Canis lupus familiaris: one gene and its partner. The protein of the gene in region 2 purifies or fractionates together with the protein of the main gene of each other region. This does not show direct contact. Links are inferred from orthologs where the notes say so. Each region holds a gene or a part of one and is shown on either strand. Other genes may lie near its edges. The genes, in order: PPP2R1A and PPP2R3A.

Region 1 (4,603 bases), on a different chromosome or scaffold from region 2:
CACACTATAGCCAAAGCCACTGGCGCTAGGAACCCTCTGAGGCTGCCCTAAATGCATGGCCCTGATCACTGATGGTTTAGGGCAGCTGAAACCTAATGGTGTCCCCTGGGCCACTGGGTCTCGTTAGTTTCAGGGCCAGCTCTGCAGAACCGAATTGGAGGCAGGTCCTTCCTTTTGGTCACATCTCAAAAACCTGGGCTGCTGCCAAGGGTCTAGCTGTTCAGTGCGTTACTTGGAAAAGTATGGACCAGCAGATTAAGGACCCCCTCCATCCACTGCCTTGTTGGGCTGTGAACTGTGGAAACCAATTGCAGTGCAGAAATGCTTGCATGGGTCACTCATTTAGATGCCCATGGTGAGGGCCTGTTCTTCACAGAGACTGCCTAGAATCAAGCTGATGATTGAGCCTGTTTCTGATGCAGAGGTATTTTTCATGGGGAACAAAGGACTAGCTAAGGACAAAGCACAAGCCCTGGGAAGTACATTGACAAGTCCTTGAAACAGGGGGAGTGATGTTCCTCTACAGACTCAACTGCCTTGGTGTTCATACTTTGCTAAGGGCAAAAGGCAAGATTAGCCAGACACCCAGGATCCTGTAAGTCTACTTTAACATATAAAAATTCCTTTAGAAATTCCCTTTATCTCTAAACCCCCAAGATACATATTGGCAATCATCCCACAAGCACGTGGCTCACCAATATACATTTGAAGGGTCTCATGACTCAGGTTTTATTAGACGGTAATAAGTGACCTTTTCTCAACAATAGCTAGCCCCCTCAAGGTCCTGGAAACCTTGCTTCCAAAATTCCTTAGAGTATGCTATCCTCAAACCCCTCCCAACCCCCAGGTATATAATCAGCCACCCCTCACAGGCCTAGGGCAGCAGCTCTTCCTGTCCACGGGTCCTGTCCCCGTGCTTTACTAAAACCACCATTTTGCACTAAAGACGTTTCAAGAATTCTTGGTGGTCGGTTCTAGACCTCACCTATAATTCCAAAACTTCATCAGTGGTAGTGGTAGTCGTATGTGGTTCTGAGGGCTGGACGGCAGTGAACGGGAGACATTTATGCAGAGATCTGCTCTCCAAGGAAAGGGATGTTTTGGACAAATGCTGTTTGACGTGAAAAAGCATGATGTACTGCGAGGGCTCTAATTTTTCAGGGCCACTGAAGTGTAAAACGAGAAGTGGAAGATGCGCCTAAGTACGGTTTAGGAACCAGATTCACAAGGGCCTTGACTATCAGCCTGAAGGGCTTGAGTTTCATCGAGAGAGTAAGGCAAGTCACCAACCTTCGGGGGGCCTCCGCATAATAAGGCAAAAACCTAAGGCTCATTCCCATCTCCTCCCTCACAGAGTTGCCGGCAGTACGTCCACCAGGAACCAGGACCACTGCCTCACAAGCCAAAACTTGCAGACTGTCCGGGTCCTCACATGACGTCACGCACTCCAAGCGACGCATGCACAGAAGCTTTGTGCTGGACCGGCCAGAGGGCAGTCTTTGCTTCCTCTGAATCCCTCCATTTATTGGTTAGGTACAACTGCTCGTCTCCCTCGTCGTTAGCGGCGACGTAGGCGGGTACAATCTTGGTCGCTAAGATACCGCGTACTTCCGTTTCCTTCCCCTCTCTGCTATACTGAGACCGCCGACTTCGTCCCTTCAACCAATGGCAAATGGGCAGTGGGCGGGGCTTCACTTATCCGGACCAACGAAATGCGGGCGTCGCGCGGCCAATGACCGTGGGGCAGCCCCTGTAAAGTGGCTCAGGCGACCCCACGCTCGTCTTCCGTCCTCTGCCCAGCCCTACCCTTCCTGCCCCGGTTTCAGCACGGCGCCGGCTGCAGTCTGACAGGAACGGGACGGAACCAAGATGGCGGCCGCCGACGGCGACGATTCGCTCTACCCCATCGCAGTGTTGATAGACGAGCTTCGCAACGAGGATGTTCAGGTCCGGAGGCTACGGGGGTCTTGGGGAATTACAGGAAGAGGTAATGGGGGCACGGACGGCCCTCGCGGAGAAGGCTCAGTGTTCGCTAGGAGTGGCGGAAGGGGGAGGCGGCCAATCAGCGTCCGGCTTTCACGTTTCCATGTCCCTGGACTGGATGAGAGGGCGCCCGGGATTGGGTGTTGGCCCACTGGAGGGCGGGAGGCAGGCCAGCCTGGAGGCGCCCGGGCCTGCCAAGTGCGCGCGGCGGCCCGGGTCCTGGGAAGCTGCGACTGGGGAGGGGGTCAGGCCACTGGGTGGGGCGGAGGGAAGGGCTCGGTGATTGGCGGCGGCCCCAGAATGGCCTCTTGGGGATGGGGCGCGCGGCCTATTCCGAGTGGGGGAGGGGCCCCCGGTGTGTGGGGGCTCGGGTACGTTTTCTCCTTACTGTGTTCTGGCGGCTGGGCCTCAGCGCCTTGGGGTAAACTCTCGGAATGGGGCTTGAGCGGTGACGGCTGCCCTTCCAATTCCTGCTCTCCCTCCCTTTTCAGTTTTGGTGTAGAATCCACGAGGGGAGGTGCGGCGAGAACACCCCATTCCCACGAGAGCAACTGGCCAAATTTAAGCACGGATTTCGAGATAGAGATTCTCCCGCCTTCTGGGGCCCTGCCGGGCTGCGGTGGGCAGTTGACTAAACAGCCTAGCACATTTCTGGTGAAGGGCTGAGAAGACTGAGGACTCCACGGTTTGCCCACCCCGGCCCTACCTCCCACCCGCCGTGTGACCTTGTGCAAATTACTTCATCGCTCTGGGCCTGTTTTCTCTGCAATGTAGGCTAATAATAGTTCCGGCCTCCCTGGGTGGTTGTGATGGCCTGGACGAGTTAATACTGCAAGTAAAATAGAACGGTGCCTAATTGTTATAAGGGTCCAATAAATGTTAGCTGCAATTATTGGGAGTAGTAATGGAAGAGGTCCCATTCCTTTATAGGAGCTTCCATTTTTCTGTTTATGAAATTGAGCGGATTGCATTAGGCCCAGCCTCTGAAGTTCGAGGTAGATCACTGATTCTGGAGTCAGACAGGCTGCTGCTGTACTTCTTGCTAATTGACATGGGCAAGTTTGTTAATCCTCTTGGCCCTGGCTTTCCTCTTCTCTCAGATGGAGGTAATTATCTGGTTCATAGGGCTCTTGTATGAATTCATTTGTTCAATAAACACCTGCCCCATGTCAGTTATGGTGATAATGGTGACACCAGTTGTTATACAAGAGGCAGATGTGAAACAGCTGAATAGATTATTAACAGTTGTGAGATGTGGGAAGGAAACAGGGTATTGTGATGGTGAATCAGTATTTATTGGGCCTCAGCTCTAGGTAGTGCATTGTTTTAGGCACATGTATACAAAAAGGAACAAGGTGGACAAGAACTCCTGGACTCCTACAACTTTTATGTTGCCTGTGGAGAAACAGACAATAAGACAATTAAGTTAAAATGTATACCATGTAAGATGGCAATAAATGCTTTGGAGAAAAATGAAGCAGGGATGGAGAGGACGGGAGAATGTTACACAAGTTTAGAATGACTAGGCAAGGCCTTATTGAGAAGGGGACATTTTAGCAGAAATGTGAATGAGAAGCAGGCCTCATAGATATCTGGGGGAATAGCATTCCAGGTAAAGGAAGCAAGCGCAAAAGTCCTGCAGCAGGAATATGTAATGCATGCTCTGAGAACTGCAGGAAACCAGTGTGACAGGAGCCAAAGGAATGAGCTGTTGGGTGTCAGGAGATGAAGATAAAAGGGACTATGACTCAGAGGGAACTTGTGAGCAGTCACTTAAACTAGGTGTTGCCAGATCATTGAGCACAGTGGTTAAGAAAGTTTTTGAGATGTTTTATGGTACAGCTTAACAAGTTTAAGTAGCATGAGGACCTGTGGATAGAAAGAGCTGTACTTCTGTATGAAGCCAGTGGTTATATGCATGGTGCTCAAGGGGCAAGGGATGTGGAGGGAGTATTAGATCATAAATGTTTTCGAATTTCTAATTGTAAAACTAATTTCACAAGATTTCTCTGGTATTAACTATTGGTGAGATATAGAGGCACTCTTTAAGAATGTAGCAAACAGGTTTTTTGTCCTTATTGAAACTATGCAGCTCTAGGTCAGCCTTCTGGGCTAAAAATGAACATATTTCTGCTTCTATCCCTCATCACAGGGATTGGCAAATGGCAAAGGGTGGCCCTTTGCCTTTTTATTTTTTTAATAGAGTGTTATTGAAAACACAGACTCTTCCATTTACATATTATCCATGGCTGCTCTGTGAAACAATAGGGTAGAATTGAGTAGTTGCAACAGAGACAAGTTTTGGCCCCTTAACGCCTAAAATATTTACCACCTAGTTCTTTACAGGAAAGAGGATGCCAACCTTTTTTTTTTTTTTTTTTAAGATTTTATTTATTTATTCATGAGAGACAGAGAGAGAGAGAGAGAGGCAGAGACACAGGCAGAGAGAGAAGCAGGCTCCATGCAGGGAGCCTGATGTGGGACTCAATCCCAGGACTCTAGGATCACGCCCTGGGCCAAAGGCGGCGCTAAACTGCTGAGACACCCAGGGATCCTGAAAAATAGATAATTAAACAAAATACGAAAACTCGACTTGAACCACCTCTGTATTAAATCCTAT
Region 2 (3,818 bases):
TTAGGCTATTTAATGATGGAACAGGTTGCTTGGCAAGATAGTGAGCTTCCTGTCACTGAAAACATTCAAGCAGAGAATCAATTTATGTGTTGATGATGTCATGGATGAAATTCCTATATTAAATGGGAGGATGTACTGGGAGACCATTAAGGTTTTATTCAAACTTACGGAGTTCCATGAAATGGATGACATATCCAGGATGATATAGATGGATCAAATAAATTTTTTCAACATGGGGGAAAAACCTAGCCATGCTTAAAAACAGAAAGCAAAGAGACAGTGAGGAGAGAGAGAGAGATTAGGATTGCCAGAGAAAGAGAGATTATATATCATTTAGTAGTTATATTACCTTTGCAATTTTTCCCATTTCATAGATGTCTGCTTTCTGATCTTCAATATCCATGAAAGCAGTTTCAATTTTGCTTAGAGTCTGTTCATGGTTACTGCAGGCATCTGGGAGTCCTTCGGGAAAGTAGAACTGTGGAATGTTTATGGACAATGGTGCATTCACAACATTATTCACATGAGGAACAGGGGAGAGAGGTCGGGGACTACTTGGAAAGGTGGCTGTAGGTGGAAGTGGCGTTCCAGGTTTCTTTTCTGGTTTATTTTGAATCTGGAAGGAAAATGTGATTATGAAACACAAAAATTCTCAACAGCATATACTTCTTGAAAGTCCTCATCAGTAATAAGAATAGAGACAGCAGAGATGAAGAAATCACTCTATTACTAGGGTGATAAGTGTGCTTCTAGGGAATGCCTATCCATAAAAAATAAACACATTAATTATCTGTCAATATTCGAATTTAAACAGATTTATGCTTTAAAAATCCTACAGTACATTTTCCCATCAATTATGTTCTAGACATTTAAGAGCAATGTTAGCTGACATATTAAGGAGTATTCAAATGTATTCTTAGTCTGTTGGAATTGGAGTAGTAAATTCTTTCTGAAGACTGTTCATCTTTCTGCACATTTCTACTTCTACTTTGACAGGCAGATAAGAGTAAGTTCTTTTAAAATGCACACATCTAAAATATATTGGGGGGGGTGTCTTTTCACCTTCTTCTCTCTAGTTTGACTTTGTTTAGGTAAAATCACTGCCAGTCCCTGATGCAGAGAAAGCCTTTGTTAAGAAAATTAAAGCATCTTAGTTTTTGGAATGTCTTCTATCAGGTTGATTTACTTGCCCCTTGGGGCATGCAATTTTTTTTCTATGATACACACTTCTTTCATTTTTGGTACACTCTAATAATAGGCAGGGATCATGGTCATCAATTTCATTGCAGCCAAACTCCCTTCAGAGTTTATTAACTCATTTATAGTTTATGTCCTTCCTTTGTCCAAAAAAGATTTCATGTGGTATGCCATAAAGAAACATAAGGACGGTATAAAGGGGGGACAGGCAGGCAATGAGGAGATTAAGATTATCCATGATTTAGGGAAAGGGGAGGGGAGGTTCACTAACATTCAGGTAAAAGTCTACTTTACCAATGAAGACTAAATTGAGTTTGGAGATTCCGAGCAGAAAAAGCAAAAAAGATTCCAGAGTTTTAATTTCTTCTCTTAATTTTGATCAAATTATCTATCAAGGCTCATGAGCATGGCACTGTGTTAGGTACTACATAAAGTTATCAAAGAGTGACATGACTGTTGATCATCATGAACACAAAATATTACCCAAATGTTAACTTTCCTTAAATAATCCGAATGCCACTCCTAAAGTTTGAACAATGATTTATTTCTAAGTAGTAGATCTGAATATCATATTTCCTTTTGACATATGGGCTCATAACAGATCTTTAAACTCAGGATAAAAATCTTGGCTACCCTTGAAAAGCATAAGTATTACAGGAAGATAGCTTCATTCACACAAATATGTGATGAATATGATTTAGTCTTCTTTTGTCACACATGACACATTCTTAGATTAATATCTGACACTAATACATAGAGTCCGCTCATATATTAATACTACTGGGGATATAAAGACCAGTTGGTCATACCAAGATTTTGCTGCAGTATAAGCATGTCATCCCTATAAAGCAACAGTCAAAGAAAACATGGCACAGAGAAAAGTGAGGCTAATGAAATATGAAAAACGTAAAAGAAAACAGTGATGGCTTACTAGCTCTGTGACCTCAGGAAAATTACTTAACCTTTTAGAATTCAGTAATAAAACAGATTATAACACTTCTTGGAAGGTTGCTGTGAAGATTAAAGGCAATTACAGGACATAACTAATATAGGTAAAGGGTTCAGAACTGTGCTAGACACAGATATGTCCTTATTTAAGAGCCACAAGGCTAAAGGGTGAGGTTCTTAAAAGGCTAAATATAATTTGGCATGGTCCTTCAGATTCAACAAGAAATAAAAGAATTGTTTACATTTGTAAAACAATTTAAAGTTTACAAACCACTTTTGATTTGACAAATTGATAATCGGTTTATAAACATTTCTCTCTGCTTTAATGCTAAATCTGTAAATATTATTACATAGTCCCATGAGTCAGTAACAGCAGAAATTGTTCCTAATCTTCTACAGGGCATATAATTCTTCAGGGGCTTTACATTTAAATATAATAGGTCATTTATATTAGTGATATCCCCTTTCTATTATTCTATGCTGAAACAGGTCTGTGAGACTACAAGTGTACAATCATGAAAATTCTTTTTTTGTTTCCCCAAAATGTTTCCCATGGTGTGACATCCAGGCAGTTATAACTGTAGGATTAAGACCACTGGTGCCAGTGGGGATGAAATCCAATAGTTTAGTGAGCACATACGAGCAGAGGTTTTAAAGCAAGGCCTTCTATGATAACTCTACACTTTTGCTTCGACAGAAGTAAGTAACAATTGAGAACAAACCCTGCTATCTGTCAAAGTTTTTATTTAAATGGGTATTCAATTATATAATCTACTTTGCTTTCCTTAGTGTACCTCTTACCATTAAGCAATTCACTGATAGGAAAGTATTTATCAATTCATTGGTCAATCCCATATATAACAAAATTGATGTTAATATTTAAAAGGGAAAAGAAAAAATGCATTTATTTTGCACTTTTATATGTTATCAATTTACTTTCCACTGAATTCAATACAAGATACATAATTTAAAGTATTTTAATAAAGCTGACCTTTATAAATGCTATAGAATAAGACAGTTAAATAAAATTTGGCAGATTTACTGGCAAGTTCAGCATCTGCTCATTTTGAATAGAATGGTTTCATTCAAATTGAGAAATAGCATTAAAATAGAACTATTAGGGGAAAATGTCTCAATTCTCCATTTCATTCTCCATTTATTAGCCTATAAATATAGTATCATTTAGTTAGTACCCTTATACTATTATGTCACTGTAGCATTTCCAATATTTGGCCATTTTTTATTTAAAAAAAAAGCAATTTCATATGGTTCACTCAATCTGAAATCACTCTGAATCAGAATAACTATGAAACTATGGTTTCTTACTGGATTCTGGGTGGCCATCACTTGTATGACCCTTGATTTGTATTGCATTCAAGGTAAGGCAAATTGTTTGATACAACACTGGCCCTAGGTATAAGAAAGTAAGCATGGGTTCTGCAAAGTTATCATCATAGGCAGAAATGACTCAGTATCACAGCTTGCTGAGGGAGGACATTCCTTCACAACCCAGAAATTAATTGCCATCCTTTGTTAGTTTCATACATTATATCACACCCACACAATTGTCTATATATATAATTAGTTCTTCCTGAAAAAAAAGATTACCAGGCCTGATACTTTAAAAACAATTCATTACAGATGTATTACAAACATCGTCTATTGATTCAAAG

The links.
Region 1: the proteins of PPP2R3A (region 2) and PPP2R1A purify together in Homo sapiens (affinity purification with mass spectrometry; 6 studies listed by BioGRID and IntAct, counting the BioPlex papers as one, with this or other methods). This does not show direct contact. The link is inferred for Canis lupus familiaris from reciprocal best matches to the Homo sapiens genes PPP2R3A and PPP2R1A.

What each region holds. Positions count from the first base shown.
Region 1 is NC_049222.1:105,634,054-105,638,656, reverse strand, and holds the start of PPP2R1A (serine/threonine-protein phosphatase 2A 65 kDa regulatory subunit A alpha isoform), read left to right. Parts: upstream 1-1,764; 5' UTR 1,765-1,869; coding exon 1,870-1,947; intron 1,948-2,284; exon of another isoform or gene 2,285-4,603. UniProt on the Homo sapiens protein: The PR65 subunit of protein phosphatase 2A serves as a scaffolding molecule to coordinate the assembly of the catalytic subunit and a variable regulatory B subunit.
Region 2 is NC_049244.1:33,033,822-33,037,639, reverse strand, and holds part of PPP2R3A (serine/threonine-protein phosphatase 2A regulatory subunit B'' subunit alpha), read right to left. Parts: intron 617-3,818; coding exon 350-616; intron 1-349. UniProt on the Homo sapiens protein: The B regulatory subunit might modulate substrate selectivity and catalytic activity, and might also direct the localization of the catalytic enzyme to a particular subcellular compartment.